5 linked regions of the Xenopus tropicalis genome follow. The protein of the gene in region 1 interacts with the protein of each later gene in a pairwise test. Links are inferred from orthologs where the notes say so. Each region holds a gene or a part of one and is shown on either strand. Other genes may lie near its edges.

Evidence for each region. The genes of interacting proteins can lie anywhere in the genome.
Region 2: the proteins of fam161a (region 1) and lzts2 interact in binary tests that used the Homo sapiens proteins (3 or more experiments, as listed by UniProt). The two-hybrid records come from large-scale screens. The link is inferred for Xenopus tropicalis from reciprocal best matches to the Homo sapiens genes FAM161A and LZTS2.
Region 3: the proteins of fam161a (region 1) and trim54 interact in binary tests that used the Homo sapiens proteins (3 or more experiments, as listed by UniProt). The two-hybrid records come from large-scale screens. The link is inferred for Xenopus tropicalis from reciprocal best matches to the Homo sapiens genes FAM161A and TRIM54.
Region 4: the proteins of fam161a (region 1) and ccdc57 interact in binary tests that used the Homo sapiens proteins (3 or more experiments, as listed by UniProt). The two-hybrid records come from large-scale screens. The link is inferred for Xenopus tropicalis from reciprocal best matches to the Homo sapiens genes FAM161A and CCDC57.
Region 5: the proteins of fam161a (region 1) and ppfia1 interact in binary tests that used the Homo sapiens proteins (3 or more experiments, as listed by UniProt). The link is inferred for Xenopus tropicalis from reciprocal best matches to the Homo sapiens genes FAM161A and PPFIA1.

Annotation. Positions count from the first base shown.
Region 1 is NC_030681.2:33,455,251-33,459,454, forward strand, and holds the start of fam161a (protein FAM161A), read left to right. Parts: upstream 1-1,404; 5' UTR 1,405-1,435; coding exon 1,436-1,600; intron 1,601-4,204. UniProt on the Homo sapiens protein: Involved in ciliogenesis.
Region 2 is NC_030683.2:29,786,038-29,789,537, reverse strand, and holds part of lzts2 (leucine zipper putative tumor suppressor 2 homolog), read right to left. Parts: intron 1,987-3,500; 5' UTR 1,948-1,986; coding exon 1,465-1,947; intron 1-1,464. UniProt on the Homo sapiens protein: Negative regulator of katanin-mediated microtubule severing and release from the centrosome. Required for central spindle formation and the completion of cytokinesis.
Region 3 is NC_030681.2:162,391,351-162,394,850, forward strand, and holds part of trim54 (tripartite motif-containing protein 54), read right to left. Parts: intron 1,619-3,500; coding exon 1,447-1,618; intron 1,272-1,446; coding exon 1,176-1,271; intron 904-1,175; coding exon 670-903; intron 1-669. UniProt on the Homo sapiens protein: May bind and stabilize microtubules during myotubes formation.
Region 4 is NC_030686.2:27,518,148-27,521,647, reverse strand, and holds part of ccdc57 (coiled-coil domain-containing protein 57), read left to right. Parts: intron 1-3,323; coding exon 3,324-3,432; intron 3,433-3,500. UniProt on the Homo sapiens protein: Pleiotropic regulator of centriole duplication, mitosis, and ciliogenesis. Critical interface between centrosome and microtubule-mediated cellular processes. Centriole duplication protein required for recruitment of CEP63, CEP152, and PLK4 to the centrosome.
Region 5 is NC_030680.2:14,532,028-14,535,527, reverse strand, and holds part of ppfia1 (liprin-alpha-1), read right to left. Parts: intron 3,495-3,500; coding exon 3,260-3,494; intron 540-3,259; coding exon 438-539; intron 1-437. UniProt on the Homo sapiens protein: May regulate the disassembly of focal adhesions. May localize receptor-like tyrosine phosphatases type 2A at specific sites on the plasma membrane, possibly regulating their interaction with the extracellular environment and their association with substrates.

The sequences.
Region 1 (4,204 bases):
TAAATTGCAAAAGTGCTCGGAAGGATATTCTGAATGATTTTACATTAAAGGAGACATATTGGATAAAGGGGAAAAACGCTAATTTTGTAGGCAATTATGAATAATATATGGTGCTGATTTCACTTTGTGCTAAAAATTAATCCTCTCTGTAACAATGGCCTCTTTATTGGAGCTCCCTATAGAAATGAAGAGTGGGCGTGTCCCAACAGTCCCTGCCAGAAGCACAGTAGGAGGAGGAGAGCCAATCACAGCCCTGCACTCACACAAGCACAGACAGGCTTCAGTTCCCTATCAGGTCAGCCTAGCTGCTGATTGGTTCCTATCCTACAGTGCAGTTTATGGAGGGCCGCTGGCACCCCCTGCACATCCAAAGAATTCAGCCAGCAGGAAGTGGAACAGATGGGCGGGGCTAGTGGGGTTTGGGGGAATTTCTCAATAAATCAGTCTGAAATACAACTTTTTAAAGCACATTCCTTCTATGTCTAGAGGAGTATAATTCACTGGTACATTCATTATTTTTATAAGATATGTCTCCTTTAAGGTATGTGTAACCTTAATTTGTTTGTGTAAAATAACATAAATATACATGAAAGGTACACACATGCCATAGGAGTATAGTCAAGTGCTATTTATAATGCTCCTAAATTATGATCAAGCACCCAAAAAGTAATTTACAGAAAATAAAGGATGCTATTCAGTAAGATTACAGTTCCCACAATGCTTTGAAATGTATTACAACTTTAATAGTTTAACCTTAATGCCAGGAAGGTCTAGCGTAAAAAAAGAAGAGATCACCCTAAATTCAACAATGAGCCTTTGTAAGTAAGTAGGCACCTCCTATGGTCACCCTTATGAGCCTTACCCACCCCTTCTCTGGCTCTTGGGCACACAAATTAAAAACCACGGGCATATGAAAAGCTATCTGAAGGCAAATAAACTAATAACTGCACTTTGTGCATTATTCCGCCCCTACCGGGATTATTATCCGCTCTCTTCCAAATCCGTGCGGAGGGGGCTGTAGTGCTCTCGCCTCAGCCAATCAGAGCGCAGGGTGGGCACTATCGCTAGAGCGCCCTATAGGAAAGCGGAGCTAGAGTATTGTGTTGGCAGCCGGCGCTTTAGATGTCGCCAAATGTATATGTGTGGGCTGAAGTTTGGAGCTGGTTATGCTCTGCCTTTGGGAGTACCCTAAGCACTCGCATTTCCACCATCATTAGTCTCATTCTGCGGCAGATAAACTAAAGCTGGATGCAAAACTCTGGAAGCCTGCGCCAGTTGCTGCTCTGAAAACAGCGCGCTCTAGGTTATTGTCTCCTTTCTCTCATGCCATGTGGCGTGGCTTCAGTTTGTGATCGCTTTAGAGGTTGGTCTCTCGCAGACTCCGTAGCGTCGGCGGTTGCCAGGCAGCGGCCAAAGCTGAAGGTTCCGTGCCAATATGGCGCAGGCTCACAAGGAATCAGTGCTCGCTGCCGCCTGTGTGAGGACCCCTGTGAACCCCTACACCAAAGCACCGCTTGCCCTGTACGAACGGGAGTTGGGGGAAAGGCAACAACAACGAACTGCCTCTGTCTCACCCCAGAGACTTCCAAGAACATCAATGGTATGGATACTATTCTTACAGCTGGAATATTAAAGCTCATAGAAACCTAAAGATAGCAAACTTCTTAACAATTTATCTCTGAGCTAAACTTATATATACAAATATATTTATTACAAATGTCCCATTGTGTTAAAGTTATTTGTAAGTAGAACTTCTTTTGATAGCTTCATCTGTCAAACTGCTGGTTGTAACTAGTGAAACAATGTAGCAGAGGGCAGCTGATTCACAGACAGGGCTAGGAACAGGCAAGTGGCTGCTGCTACAGTGCTTCATTAGACAGATCTAAATGGCAATTACATTTACAGTTCACTTTAAAATATGAATATACATAAAAAGTTACCTATAGGTCATGTTGATGGTGTCTCGCTGACAGGTTTGCTTTTGTAAGTAATTGTTACTTGAAGTTCCTACACCTGACTGTTTTGCCAACCTGACTGTCCCTTCCCAGCCTGTCAGTTACAGCTTCTAATGCTAACAGACAAATATGGCTGCCCCCACTTAGAGGAACCGAGGATCAGACAGGTAATGTAAACGCATCAGGCAAATATTTTTATGGCAAAATTCTAAAGTTCTTGCAAAGACAATGTTATTATAGATGTAAAAAAAAAGATTTACTTTCTGGTGTCAGTATCTCTTTAAGACCATTGAAAAATGTTTATGAATTTCTGTTGGAAAGTTTCGTAGATTTACGTTTTTTATTAGGCAAACATGGTATTTTGGGGTTTACAGCCTGGTTTGTTCTGCTGTAACTTATAGACAGTAGGCATATGAGTTGGGCACAGGCGGCAAACATTAGAACTCTGTTTGGAACAGAACCTTTGGGTTCCCAAGTGTTGCTGGCCCCACAACTCCTTTGTTATATGTTGAAGAATGGTAGGTAAGCCCAGAACTAGGGGTAGGCAGAAGGGGCATGTGCCTAAGGTGCAATTATAGGGCAGGGCTTTGGAGTTGGTACATATATCCAGTGACTCCTCAGTTTATGGTACTTCAGACTCCAGGTACCCAAATTTGCTTCTGACTCTACAAATCTGACTCCACAGCCCTGGCCAGTCTATGGAGTCTTTACATAAATCCTTCAGCTACTCAGTAGTTGCTTCTGACTCCGACTCCACTTGGGGGGTGCTACTCATTGGGATAATGTTTACAAAAAAGTAACAGAGGCTGCTGACCCTGCTGATGGGAGATGTAGTTAAACAATCGCTGGAGGGCCGCAGGTTTGACATCGCTGTATTACTTAGTTAGCCTGGGCATGGAAGGGCAGCATGCTCTGGGAATTATCTCTAGCCTGTCATCTGGTGTTTATTTTATAAGCCTATTCGGCACCGGTTAATTAACAGATGGGATCATGTGATGCCAGTGCTAATTATACAGAGTGCTATTTGGCACATCAGTTACATTTACATGCTAATAATGGTGAAAAGCTGAACAGTATAAGCTACAATGTAGGGGATCCCGTTTAAAAGAGGATTAGATTGGTAGTTATTTTTAGTGACTATAGAGCATTAGCTGGGAAGCAATTTACTGAATTAAGCAGAGCACTGGCAAACCCGTGATGGTGTTGTCTCAATGTCTATAAAATCTGCAGGGCTGAAAAGAGATCTCATAGTCATTATATCTGGAGAAGGAAAGCGTACAGGGAGTGGGGGAGAGTATGGACCTGTCCCAAAACTTACATTCATGTCACACTTAACACAAGTAAAACATTGACAACTAGTTACGGATGCACCAAATCCAGGATTCGGTTTAGGATTTGGCCAAGATTCAGCCTTTTTCAGCAGGATTCATATTCAGCTGAATCCACGCTCCTGGCCAAACCAAATCTGAATCCTTAAAAACACTTTTTGTCACATAAATACGGAAGTTGAACATTTTTTGCTGCACTCGTTAACCCTTCCGTGTCCTAATTTACATATGCAAATTTGGATTTGGTTCGGTATTTGGACAAATCTTTTACGAAGGGTTCGGGGTTTGGATGAATCCGAAAATAGTGGATCCCTGCAACTAGTATTTTTGTACAATAAAAGAAAATGTAATTTTAAGCAAATATGTTAATGAAAGGTTTTCAGTGGTTTTAAAATTACTTACTATATTTGTGCATTTGACGCACGTTCAGAATGTAATAGAATGAAGAAATGACTGTTGAACTTACAAGAACACACTTACTTGCATCTAAATCAATGCACGTGAATGCAATAAATGGGAAAATAGAAGCAAAAGATGGCAGCTCTGTGCTTTAATAAAAACATTTTTCAAAGATGAGTAGCACCCACAGGAGTCCGTGAGGCTGGTAACAAATTGGCATCTCCACGGTGAATTTGTCTGTGTTGTCCTTTAATCCCTGCCCATTCATTTATTATATTTCTGTTATATGTAGATATAAGCTTATGATGCTCTGTTAAATTTTCCTATATTATAAATTTTTTTTCTTTATACAGTTTATATATATATATAAATATATATCTCAAATTAACCAGTGATGTGCAAGGAAATGACTAATAAACAGAGATAATGGGAGACTGAAACAAGAGATGCAACAGGCCCTGCCCACAAGAGATTACAGGCTATATCTGTTAGCAGTGTAAGCTTATTATGGTGTATGCTGTG
Region 2 (3,500 bases), on another chromosome or scaffold:
CAGATCACATGTCTGCATGGGCAACTAATACTATTGGGGGTCTGTAACAACTGATCCAAGACCTTTATTAGCAACTAGTCTAATTGCATAAGCCAGCAGCTAGAAGTTGTCTGACCAGGGCAAATTTGAATGCTCTACTGTATGTGTATTAAACCTTCCAGAAGGAACACGAGTTTATCTATATACAATGTTCTGTACTGGTTTAATTCAGGCATCCTACAGCGCCCGTACTAAGACGGGAGATGCTTAGGTAACAGCACCTATCATTACTCAGAGGATGTGGAACAGGAACTAAAAGCTGCCTTTAATTGACGTGCTGGACTTGCCCATTTGAATTGCACATTTCAGGAGGGATTTGTAATTATGAGCTAAAAATAAAGCAGTAAGTGAACAGAAACACTAAGCTCTATGCTTGACTGGGATTTCCGATCCCACCTCCAGCCTTTAAGATTAGATATAAATGCGTCAAAAGAATCCCTAAAACACCTAGAAAAATAACAAGCTGCAAATTGTGTATTTTACGGGATTTACGGGAAGCTGCCGGAATAAAGGAAACGCCAGTATAAAAGCTGATGCATCATCATTAGGTGTTTTGTTTGAAATTTGACAATGTAAATAGCCCACAGCCCAACATTGTGCAAATATGCAAATAGCTGTAATTGTAAGCTTTGTGCTAATTGCAGTCCTACCTACTGACTGCTACTTTCTGTCTGTCCCATAGTGGGGCTTTAGGGGTCACACACAAGGCCTTTCCACTGACCTGCTGTCTTCCACCCTCACTAAAATCACAATGGAATGGATGGCCCCGTCCCCTTCTCAACCTAGAGATTTATTTGGAAATAACCATATTTTTAAAATGCCTTTAGTTGGATCATGGGGGGCACTATTCCATGAAATAAACTGAAGGCCAAATACACAGGCGAGTAGAGCACTAGTTGACTGCTATAAAGGGACTAGTAGATTTAATCAAATAAGTATTTTGGACCATATACTCTCACCAACTTTTAGTATGTTATAATGTACTATTTCTAGCAACTTTGCATTTGGTCTTCATTTATTTTTTTTTATACTTTGAATTATTTGCCTGCTTCACCTACATCTTTCCAGCTTTCACATGGGGGTCACTGACCCCATCAGCCAAAAATAAAAGTTACATTTTATTTCTTATCTATTTAGTTGCTCTTCTATTCATATTCCTGTCTCTCATTCCCACCACTGCCTGGTTGCTAAGGTAAACAAGACCCTAGCAACCAGATAGCTGCTGAAATTCCAAACTAGAGATCTGCTGAACAAAAATCTAAATAACTGAAAAAAAACTACAAAAAATAAAAAAGGAAAACTAACTACAAATTGTCCCAGAATATCAACATCTACATCATGCTAAAAGTTGATATCAGGGAAAACATGCCCTTCAAAAAAAATGAATGAATACATATTTGCACCCAATAACCAATCAACTATTACCTTTTCTAATTTGCCAGAGACTGGGATGAGTTTGGGGGGAGGCCCTCTTATATTCCCATTAAGAGCTCTCTCTTCCCGAATATCTTCAGCATCACTAGAGGGGCTGATTGGTACTCTAGGTTCATGCCATTCCTCTTTAAAGTCCTCGTTGACGTAGACATAATTCCCATTATTTCCAGAGGTAGTAGTAGAGGGTTTCTTTGTAGGAAGCCCATTAAACAGAGGATCCTGTGAGCTGTAATTACTTTTTATAAGCCCCTCTTGCTGCTTAAAACAGTTTGGCATGTTGGTAGGTTTGCGGCACTTGTTGCTCAATTCAGAGGCCTTGCACTGCTTGTCATGGTATGTCCTCCCAGAGATTAAGCTGCTGACGCTTCCCATGGTGTTCTCTGTGACAGGCGACCTGGTGTTTGTATGGCTTTGGCTACCACTGACCTCAGCGTTTTGGTCAATGGATAATGGAAGAGCTTGCAAGGCAGCCATAGTGTAGATAATCTAAATACAGAGGACTGCATAAACCACCTAGAGAAATACACAAGAGAAAGAACACTTAAATATATGGAAGCTTTACAACATTCCCAATGCATTTCTAATCATACTGCTAAATTCATGTTGCATTTCACTTTACTGAAAAAAGACAATAATAAAAGTTATTCCAGTTTAAGTTCCATGACTTCAGTCTACTGCTACATTCCTTCTGTGTATCAGGGGACCCGTGAGTGACCATAAGTGTTTTTATTATTAAGGCAAAAAAGGCTCAGGTACACCTATGCTATTCTATCATGTCCATTTCTAAAAATATAATTTTACATGTATGGAATCACTTTGAAGCCATTGTCTAAAGCAAAGTACAAAGGTTTCGGGCATTCCATCTCACCAACAATACAACCCTGGTACAAATACAGCTGAGCATTTCCTTATCATATTATTTCCTTCCCATACTGCTCAAGCTAAACACTATAGATAAAGCACACAAGGATTCTTTCATGGAAACGTCTGGAGTTCACCCCAAGCAATTAACTGTAGTTATAAACAGAGAATATCGTTCCCAGGGGAAGCAGAGTGTGCGCTTGTTTGTGGAACAGCGGATATTTGCTGATTTAGCAGATTATCAGTGCTTTATTGCTCACAGTTGCAATTAATCAAATTGTTCTGGATTAGTAAATTGTTTTGTGTTAATGAAGAATACTCTATTTGCCAATCTTTGAATAAAGCCAGAGTATATATATTACTCAGGTACTTCAGGTGAATAGCACACAATGGTTTAGGTGGCTAAGCTGTCACGTTACTGCCTGAAACCATTTGTTGGCTGTCGCAGTGACCAATCATGCCGAGTAAAACAACAACTGAGAAGCAGACATGTTATACGACCCAATAAGTAAGAAAATCCATCAGTAAATAACACACAAGCATTTTCTGTGTTACCATTTGTGGTCTTCCTTTAGGGAAGGTCAGTGATGTCCAACTTAAAGGGGGAGTTTACAACTTAAAATTAACATTAATGATGTAGAGAGTGATATTCTCAGAATATTTGCAATTGGTCTTCATTTTTTATTTGTGTTTTTATTATTTAGCTTCTTGTTTAACTCTCCATTTTAGCACATAGATGGGTAACCAGGTGGTGGTTTTAAAACTGGAAAAGCAATAGGAGAGGGGCTGAATAGAAACTTACATAATAAAAAGTAACAAAAAGTATTTTTGCTGCCAGGGAGAGTGACCCCCATTTGAAATCTGGAAAAAGTCAGAAGAAGAAGGCAAATAATTTAAAAACTATATAAAATAAAAGATAAAGACCAATAAAAAAAAGTTGCTAAGAATTGACCATTCTATAACATACTAAAAGTTAACTACCCCTTTAAAAACGATAATCGGTCAAATTCAAGTCACATTTTCAATGGTACAGGCTTATGTAACAGGGCCAACAGGAACATCCAAACACCAAACATGGGGGAGAGTTGGACTCTTCTATTCTTCAGTGGCATAGGGGGGAGCATGTGTGCACCATTCCTGGCTAAGGCACACTGTCATCTAGCAAC
Region 3 (3,500 bases), about 130 Mb from region 1:
TGTAAGGGCAGTCAGGTTATGGGGTTCCTACCCAGAGAGGGGGAATGAGTGATACATTGGGGGTGGGGAGGAAAGGGGATCTCACCATCAGCATAGGAAGGGGTTCCTTACTGTAAGGGCAGTCAGGTTATGGGGTTCCCTACCCAGAGAGGGGAATGAGTGATACATTGGGGGTGGGGAGGAAAGGGGATCTCACCAATCAGCATAGGAAGGGGTTCCTTACTGTAAGGGCAGTCAGGTTATGGGGTTCCCTACCAAGAGAGGGGGAATGGAGTGATACATTGAAGGTGGGGAGGAAAGGGGATCTCACCATCAGCATAGGAAGGGTTCCTTACTGTAAGGGCAGTCAGGTTATGGGTTCCCTACCAAGAGAGGGGGGATGAGTGATACATTGGGGGTGGGAGGAAAGGGGATCTCACCATCAGCATAGGAAGGGGTTCCTTACTGTAAGGGGCAGTCAGGTTATGGGGTTCCCTACCAAGAGAGGGGGAATGAGTGATACATTGGGGGTGGGGAGGAAAGGGGATCTCACCATCAGCATAGGAAGGGGTTCCTTACTGTAAGGGCAGTCAGGTTATGGGGTTCCCTACCAAGAGAGGGGGAATGAGTGATACATTGGGGGTGGGGAGGAATGGGGATCTCACCATCAGCATAGGAGGGGCTCTGTACCTGCAGGAAGGCTGCCATTTGTGGCTCCTCCATGGACTGAATGGAAGACTCTACCAGTTTGGAGGTGCCCTCTAGGTGGTCCCCATGCTTGCGGATGAGCCCCCGCACACACTGCAGTTTCTCCTCCTGTTGCCGGGTAACCACTTGCAGCAGTTCCTTCTTGCGCTCCTCCAGGATGTTATAGAGGGAGTCGAAGCGTTGGCTGAGGAGCTGCTTCTGCCGGCGGCTGTTATCCTGCAGGGGATTGGGCACAAGGTACCGTCACAGCTCTGCCATTAGTAATCATGGGTACGCAGGCCCCTCCCCCAGGGAGCCCCAGTTAGTAGCACATTGGTCCTGTAGGGCACCCTGAGAGGCGAACCCTGCCAAATACAAATGGGTCCCCAAAGAAAAGAGCCCCCCTCTGATCCCTCCTCATCTGAAAACACCCCCATTATGCATCTCCCACACTGACTCCACCCACTCTATTACAAACCCCGCCCTGCCCATGGGGCCCTCAGACTCACCTCGATGCTCTTGCAGATCTCCTCCATCTGGGAGATGATCGCCTGGATCCGGTCGTTTCCTGCCACCAGCATGGCAATGCCGTCACTCAGCTCACTCTGGGGGTACAGCAATATCAGGTGACCCCACATTCCCCACTACATTTTGCATCAATAAGATCACTGTGATTGGCTGAGTTGAAGCTGATCCCCAATGTAGTGCCCTATGATTGGCTCCAGCATGAGGTTAATGATATAGGGCCCCAAACCCCTCCCATTCCCCGCCCCCTGGTACCTTCTGTCGTTTGTAGATGTTGGAGAGAGGGGCCACCTCGCAGTCTTTATGGGCCCCAAACACTTTGCACATAGAGCAGGTCGGTACCTCGCAGCTCAGGCAGTAGATGTTGATCTTCTCATCCTCATGTTCCTCACACATGAGGTGCTGCTCAGATTTGGGGTTCATGGGCCTAGGCAGGGGGGGAATACAGTTCAGAAAGGATTTGGTGCTGGTTTGCCCTTCTATGTAGTGACTACTCTTTACCCTACAGGGCTTAATCTTTATGCGTATGGTCTACTGGGAGTTAAGTTGGCTTGAGCCTTCCCTCGGGGGTGTTGCCCCGCTCCTCAGGGTGACTGGGGGGGCTCTCCCTGTCTATCCTTGGCTTGAGCCTTCCCTCGGGGGTGTTGCCCCGCTCCTCAGGGTGACTGGGGGGGCTCTCCCTGTCTATCTTGCTTGAGCCTTCCCTCGGGGGTGTTGCCCCGCTCCTCAGGGTGACTGGGGGGGCTCCTCCCTGTCTATCCTTGGCTTGAGCCTTCCCTCGGGGTGTTGCCCCGCTCCTCAGGGTGACTGGGGGGGCTCTCCCTGTCTATCCTTGGCTTGAGCCTTCCCTCGGGGGTGTTGCCCCGCTCCTCAGGGTGACTGGGGGGGCTCTCCCTGTCTATCCTTGGCTTGAGCCTTCCCTCGGGGTGTTGCCCCGCTCCTCAGGGTGACTGGGGGGGGGGCTCTCCCTGTCTATCCTTGGCTTGAGCCTTCCCTCGGGGGTGTTGCCCCGCTCCTCAGGGTGACTGGGGGGGCTCTCCCTGTCTATCCTTGGCTTGAGCCTTCCCTCGGGGTGTTGCCCCGCTCCTCAGGGGTGACTGGGGGGGGGGCTCTCCCTGTCTATCCTTGGCTTGAGCCTTCCCTCGGGGGTGTTTGCTCTGCTCCTCAGGGTGAACTGGGGGGGCTCTCCTGTCTATCCTTGGCTTGAGCCTTCCCTCGGGGTGTTGCCCCGCTCCTCAGGGTGACTGGGGGGGGGCTCTCCCTGTCTATCCTTGGCTTGAGCCTTCCCTCGGGGGTGTTGCTCTGCTCCTCAGGGTGACTGGGGGGGCTCTCCCTGTCTATCCTTGGTTTGAGCCTTCCCTCGGGGGTGTTGCCCCCGCTCCTCAGGGTGACTGGGGGGGGCTCTCCCTGTCTATCCTTGGCTTGAGCCTTCCCTCGGGGGTGTTGCCCCGCTCCTCAGGGTGACTGGGGGGGCTCTCCCTGTCTATCCTTGCTTGAGCCTTCCTCGGGGTGTTGCCCCGCTCCTCAGGGTGACTGGGGGGGCTCTCCCTGTCTATCCTTGGCTTGAGCCTTCCTCGGGGGTGTTGCCCACTCCTCAGGGTGACTGGGGGGGGCTCTCCCTGTCTATCCTTGGCTTGAGCCTTCCCTCGGGGTGTTGCCCCGCTCCTCAGGGTGACTGGGGGGGCTCTCCCTGTCTATCCTTGGCTTGAGCCTTCCCTCGGGGGTGTTGCCCCGCTCCTCAGGGTGACTGGGGGGGCTCTCCCCTGTCTATCCTTGGCTTGAGCTTCCCTCGGGGGTGTTTGCCCCGTCCTCAGGGTGACTGGGGGGGCTCTCCCTGTCTATCCTTGGCTTGAGCCTTCCCTCGGGGTGTTGCCCCGCTCCTCAGGGTGACTGGGGGGGGCTCTCCCTGTCTATCCTTGGCTTGAGCCTTCCCTCGGGGGTGTTGCCCGCTCCTCAGGGTGACTGGGGGGCTCTCCCTGTCTATCCTTGGCTTGAGCCTTCCCTCGGGGGTGTTGCCCCGCTCCTCAGGGTGACTGGGGGGGCTCTCCCTGTCTATCCTTGGCTTGAGCCTTCCTCGGGGTGTTGCCCCGCTCCTCAGGGTGACTGGGGGGGCTCTCCCTGTCTATCCTTGGCTTGAGCCTTCCCTCGGGGTGTTGCCCCGCTCCTCAGGGTGACTGGGGGGCTCTCCCTGTCTATCCTTGGCTTGAGCTTCCTCGGGGGTGTTGCCCCGCTCCTCAGGGTGACTGGGGGGGGGGCTCTCCCTGTCTATCCTTGGCTTGAGCCTTCCCTCGGGGGTGTTGCCCCGCTCC
Region 4 (3,500 bases), on another chromosome or scaffold:
CTGCAGTGGCATGTGGATGTTGTCCTTTCCCTATAAGTCTGTGTAGGCCTGCATTAAGATCTGATTGTTGGCCAATGGGTCAGGAGAGGAGAGGGAGTGAGCATAGGTATAGTGCCTAGGGCAGCACTGGACCTAAATACAACCCTAAAGGGATCACATTTAGTATCATGTTTTAGAGAATAAGATTGCTCAGAGCAGCAGTTCTGTAAGGGCTGTGACAGACGGCGGCGACTAATCTCCCCAAAATGCCATCCCACCGGCTAGAATGGAAATCGCCGGTGGGATGGCATACGCGGCGCCGAAATCACCAAAGTTTCCTCTCAAAGCAACTTTGCCGATTTCAGCAACTCGCTGCACCGCGTATGCCATCCCACTTGCGATTTACATTCTAGCCAGTGGGATGGCATTTCGGGGAGATTTGTCACGCTGCTACTAATCTCCCCGTCTGTCACAGCCCTAAGTGTTTATGTATGTATTTAATTAGACCTTTCTGATAAAGCTTACTTAGTTTTTACCTTGCCTTCTCCTTTAAACAAAAACTTAATTCCTAGGATGAAAGTTTCCTTACATCACTATTATTTCTGGGACATAAATTTCATACCATTGCTAATTTTTTATTGGCTGGAAGATACACAGCAAGCAAAGCAGCACCGCATAGCCTTAAAAGTAAAATGCCTGAATATTTAAAAAGCAAAATGTGTGCAACCTATTGGTGTGCAAAGAACCCTCACATTTTGGAAATATATTTTTATAGTCGGTTGCCTTTTTACTGCCAACAGGTTAATTCTGACACTTAAAGGGCATCTATGACCTCTATATTGTTTTTCCCACCAAAAGGGTGGGCTAATAGAATTAGCACTCCAGTTGGGGGAAACATAAGTTTTTTTTAAGAAAACCTCACCGGGCCGGGAGGGAGCTTCCAGTGTGGGTGGCCAAGTTGGTAGGCGTGTATAATAAGGAGTCGCGCTGGTACAACCTATATTGTCAGTGCATCAGGTGTTAGAATCCTTTCCGGGCCAAGGTGAAGTAATGAGCAAATATAAATAAAAATCAGTGGCTGGCCGTTGGAGGGGTAGACAAGAAGAGGCAATGCTGACTGCGCCCCCTATGTTTAGCGCCCTAAGCAGCTGCCTCTTCTGCCTACCCCTAGTTCTGGCCCTGTGCTTGTGTCCCAACATGGCTGCCCCCCCATGGGCTCCCTCCTGGTGTGCTCAGCACTGGCGGGGGCAGTTATTTTTTTTGGAGTGTGGGCTCTATTAGCCTGCACCTCTGGTGGGAGAAACAATATAGGGTGCCCTTTAAATCTTATTAACTTACTACAGTAAGTAGCCAGCTCAGGATTTTGTTCTTGACTAGGGTTGCCACCTGTCCAGTTTTGCCCCGGTTTTTGGAAGGGCTGTCCGGGTCTAAACTGCCTGCCTGGTTTTCCCAATTTAGAAAATTGGCCAATCGTCGTTCGCCACATCATAGTCCCGCCGATGTAACATTATGTCCCCGCCCCTATGATATCACACCCCGCCCACTGACACCACATCTCAGCCCCCCCACCCAAATTTACGGCCATGGAAAAGTGACAACCCTATTCTTGACTGGAACTGCAGGCTCATTTTTAATTGACGCTGGTGTTGTATTAAACGGTTTCAGAGGATAGAATCTGACTTATGTGCTGTACTCTCCCATTTAGGGTTGCATCAGATTTGGGTTTATGTACAATATTTTACTAATCTTATTTTAGGATAGATATTTTTATGCCAGTATAGAAGATTCTTTTGATATATGATGCAATGTTTCTGGTCATTGCCATCACAAGGATAGGCAACTTTTGACTTTCTCTTTGTGATATTATACCACCTCTAACTCAGGTAGGATGTTACACTATTACACTAATACTTTAATTTTTTTTTATTACTATGCTATTATTTGGCAACTTTCACACTAGTAAATTTCTCAGCAAAATAATAGCTGTAACTTTTCTCACCTGCATTTGCCTACAATCCTTTTCCATTGTGGAACTGGCAAACCTGCATGATTGTTGCATGGCAATGTACTTATCTGTGTTTTAAGGTCACAGCTGTTCAGCTGCAGCATTTATGTGGTAATTTCAGTTGACTACAATACAAAGTGACTGGACTACTGTTTCCAATGTCCAGCTCCTCTGGTATCCAAATAGTGGCCTAGTGTAAAGGTCCCCATACACTGGCCGATAGTAGCCGCCGATATCGGTCCCTTGGACCGATTTGGCAGCTAATCGGTCCGTGTATGGGAACTTCCGACGGACCTTCCCGACCGATATCTGGCCTGAAATCGGCCAGATCTCGATCGGGCAGGTTAGAAAATCTAGTCTGATCGAGGACCGCATCGGCTCGTTGATGTGGTCCCCGGACCAACTTTACCTATGCCCGTCATTATAATTCGATCGTTTGGCCCCAGGGCCAAACGATCGAATTACCCTGGATTCTCCCGATATCGCCCACCTGTAGGTGGGGGATATCGGGAGAAGATCCGCTCACTTGGCGACATCGCCAATGTATGGGGACTTTAAGATTAGCAACCTGTTTAATCCAGACATTATAATATGAACCAGATTAAAGCATCTGGATTTATTTGTCCATTTTTTTCAGATGAAGGGGCTAGAATGAAAAAGCTCAGGTATTTATTTTGGAACGGTCACACTTTAGTTTTACTTTTTTGAGGCTGAATTACTCTGCCCTGCATAATGTGTTTTGCTAATAATCAGTAAGCACAAACATCGTTATACTGTGCATCATTGCCCTCCACATTAACACAGTAATACAACTGCAGTGGGTATAGTGAACAAGGATTAGAGGACCAGTAATATGGTCCGATTGCCATCTATGAGTCTGTTTTTTTAACTAGCGGATATTTTCTATTTTCAACCTATGTTACTATTGTTTCCTCAACTCAGAGTGCCCTGATTGGTGCCCTTTAAAGGAGAAGGAAAGGCAAAGTCACTTGGGGGTGCCAAAATGTTAGCCGACTTCTTCTGTTAAAGTTCGGCTTTTCACTCGCGTGCAGTGAACCAGGAAGAAGGAAACGCTGGCAGCTACCCCGGGCTGGTACTGTTCTCTCTGAACAGGGGCACCAGCCCGGGGTAAAGGGTAAGCTATTGAAGTCACTTGGGGGTGCCTAACATTTTGGCACCCCCAAGTGACTTTGCCTTTCCTTCTCCTTTAAAGGGCACCAATCAGGGCACTCTGAGTTGAGGAAACAATAAAACAAATAAAACATAAAAATGAAATTATATAACTGCAGTAACTCTTTCCAGAAGCATGTAAACCTATTACCAATAAATACTCTTTCAGCTCTAAAAACGCCGAAATTGATCACTGTCGAGAGGGGTATGAGAAAGTCAAATGCCAACTGGAGAGGAAAATTGTGGACGTGCAAAGTGATCTGGATTTACAAAAACAGGTGAGATGATCATAGGAACTAGTTAATAACCTGTTTAATTTGTGGGATAAGGAGATATTAAGCATTTT
Region 5 (3,500 bases), on another chromosome or scaffold:
ACCAATGCCTCCCGTATACCTGTTACAGACCTGTATTTGCCACGGACACAGCTTCTGCCCACCAAATATCAGGAGTTGATGGTGCACTTGGGCAATGGGCCGCAGTCCCAGAAAATTGAGTAATAATAATAATGTAAGCAATGCCCCAATCTATCTGTAATTTGCCCAGGCCCCTAGCCTAATGGCAACTACCTGCCCACAGGGTAGCCCCACCCTAATGTGAGGTCAGTGGCAGATAGTTCTACTTACCCTGCAATCCTACCAATTGGGTTGGAACTTGCTCAAAGTGGACATCCCCATTAAGATTACATTGTGAGGAAAAGCACACCATTCACACACAGACAGTTTAGCAGCATATATATAAATATAAATAATAAAGACACACAGGTGACACTGAAAGGGGGGGGGGAGTGAAGGAAAGACAATGGGATCTTTACCTGGGATGAGTGAGATGAGTCGGGGCAGGAGGGGGAATTGCTAGGAGGGGAGCTGGATGAATGAACTACAGACACACTGGGAACTGAGTCAGAAGATGAAGGCTAAAATAATATACACAAAAAAAAAGCAATTAAGTACTGGGGGGGGATAATAATGCCCTACTATGCCAGTCATGCTAACCTAAAGTGCAGATAATTGTCTCTACGTATGTACATCTCAGTATTGTCTATGGCAGGGTATTTTCTGGCGTTTTGTAGCTGTAAAAAAAGACCTGCTACTAGTAGCTCAGCATGTCTTCATCATTAAAGGGGTTGTTCACCTTTAAAGGAGACATATGCTATAGAAATTCTGAATGTACCAATGAATTATAGATATAGAATAATTGTGCTTAAAAAAAGTTGTATGTTCAGACTGATTTATTGAGAAATTCCACCAAAACCCCACTAGCCCCGCCCATCTGTTCCACTTCCTGCCGGCTGAATTCTCGGGATGTGCAGGGGGGCTCTCATTACTCTGCTCTGTAGGATAGGAGCCAATCAGCAGCTAGGCTGACCTAATAGGGAACTGAAGCCTGCCTTTGCTTGTGTGAGTGCAGGGCTGTGATTGGCTGTCCCCCTCCTACTGTGCTTCTGGCAGGGACTGTTAGGACACGCCCACCCTTCATTTCAAGCAGGGACAGAGAACTGATAGGATCTATAGGGAGCTCCAATAAAGGGGCCATTTTTACAGATCGGATTAAATTTAGGGGTTTTTCCCATGTATCCATTATGACTCCTTCTGTACTCTTCTGAGTCAATTTGCAACTGGTCTTCATTTATTATTATTTGTGATATATATATTTAGCTTTTTATTCAGCAGCTCTCCAGTTTGGAATTTTAGCTGCTATCTGGTTGCTAGGGTCCAAGCTACCACAGCAACTAGGCATCGCTTTGAATCAAATGGGATATGAATAGGGGAGGACCTGAATAGAAAGATAAGATATAAAATGTAACGATAACAATAAAATTGTAGCCTCACAGGGCAATAGTTGTTTGACCCCATTTGAATGTTCAAAAGAGGTAGAAGGTGGTATATAATTCAAAAACAATAAATAAAAAAAAAAAATGAAGACCAGTTGAAAAGCTGCTTAGAATTAGCCATTCTATAACATAGTTAACTTAAAGGTGAACCGCCACTTTGAAAACATATAGGTCATTAATTCTACACCAATCCTGGGCACCAGCACTGAATGTAAAACTATATATTGGTGCCCTTTAGAATAGCAAGGGAACCCTGTATTCGCCAGAGTTGGGGAGATTCTATCCCATACATATGTCCCATGCAGGGCTCTGTGAGCACATTTCATTGACACTGGCTTAACCCTGTGTGTAAGTCCGTATTTAAGAATTAATTCTGTCTCTTTTATGGAACTCAATGACAAAACACTTATTTACAATTATGTTCTCCTATTATTCAGATGTTAGTGGCCGATTATTCAGGACTCGGCAGCCCTGCTGATGTATATAACACCGTCCTTCACAGAAGGCGACACAAGCAGGGGGAAGAATAATGAACGTTAGAGGAATGACTGGCATAGTGTGACGGGAAGGCAGGGTGATAAACAAGGAACGCACAGGGGGGTTATGCAATGTGCTAGTAATAATGATTGTAATGTACTAAGTACTTATGGGGGAGGGAAGATCCTTACAAGCAGCATGAAGGATAAGTAAACCTTGTGAATGTACAATTGATGAGTTCAAGTGTAAGCACTTTTTCAATTTACATTCATTATTTTTTTTTCTTAATTCCAGGATATTAAGGGATGAAGTACTGTCAAAATTAGTGAATTGTCACATCAGCGCCACCTGCTGGACATTTTCTGACTATGATGTAGTCAAGGCAGTTGTCAAGAAAAACATTAGAAACCTCAGATAACGTCTCACGTCTTCCCTAACAAGGAAAACATCAGCTCAGCCCTCTTTATTTCTTCCTAGACCAGGAATCCTCAAACTATGGCCTGCGGGCCGGATACGGTCCCCCAAGGTTATTTACCCAGCCCCCACTATGATCTGATGCAAGGAAGCTGTGGGAAGATGCAGCGGGGAGCCAGAGAACGCAGCGGGGAGCAGGCTATAGTAAGAGTACATGGGGGTAGGACTTTAGTCCGGCCCACCAACAGTCTGAGGGACAATGAAATGGCCCTCTGCTTAAAAAGTATGAGGACCCCTGTCCTAGACAAACAGCATGGTGTGAAGCTGACCAGCAGGTGGCGCTGTGGTAACAAAATGTATTCATATTGACAGTACTTTATCCCTTATTATATTGGAATTAAAAATAAAAAATGCATGTACATTGCAAACGTGCTTAGAATAGCACTCATCAATTTCACATTCACTTGTTTTAAAGGTTTACTGATACGGCTCACATCAGTTTCTCTATAGAATTTTTCCGAGCTGGGGATAGCCAAGCCTTTGACTGAGGATGCCTGTGGGATACGGCTGGCTATCTGTGTTTAACAGTCAATGTATCCTACTGACAGCAGAGTAATTCCTTTCCAGTACAGTATTTGCTCTAGCGTGCTAACAATATAGCAATCCATCATCAATGGAACATTCAGTTGCATTACTCTTTGGTGTTTACTAGCACAGCAATGTCAGTCTGTCTTATATTAATGTGATAATGCAGATTCCATTCTGTACCTATTATAAAGCCATAAAGCAACACTGAACCACCCAGTTGTACAAAGAAGCCATTCTGTAATTAAGAGAGCAGTTATGCTACTACATACCCTGACTTTTTATCGCTAGAGTATATAAATACACATGCTCAAATGAGGACTTACCAGTGTCATGACACCCAGCCTATCCACTTCCCGGGCTGGACTATGGGGTATTCTTCTTGGAGTTGAGCGACCACTGCCAGGAGGAGAGGATCCGGCAAGAGAAGTACCACCAGTAAAAGGGGGAATTGAAGTGATGGACCTGAAACGGCCCAAATTATCTAGGCTCCCACTCCCAACCCGGGATTCAATCTCCTCTGCTCGCTGCTCTGTGGTCTCCTTCTCTTCCTGTATTAATCTAACC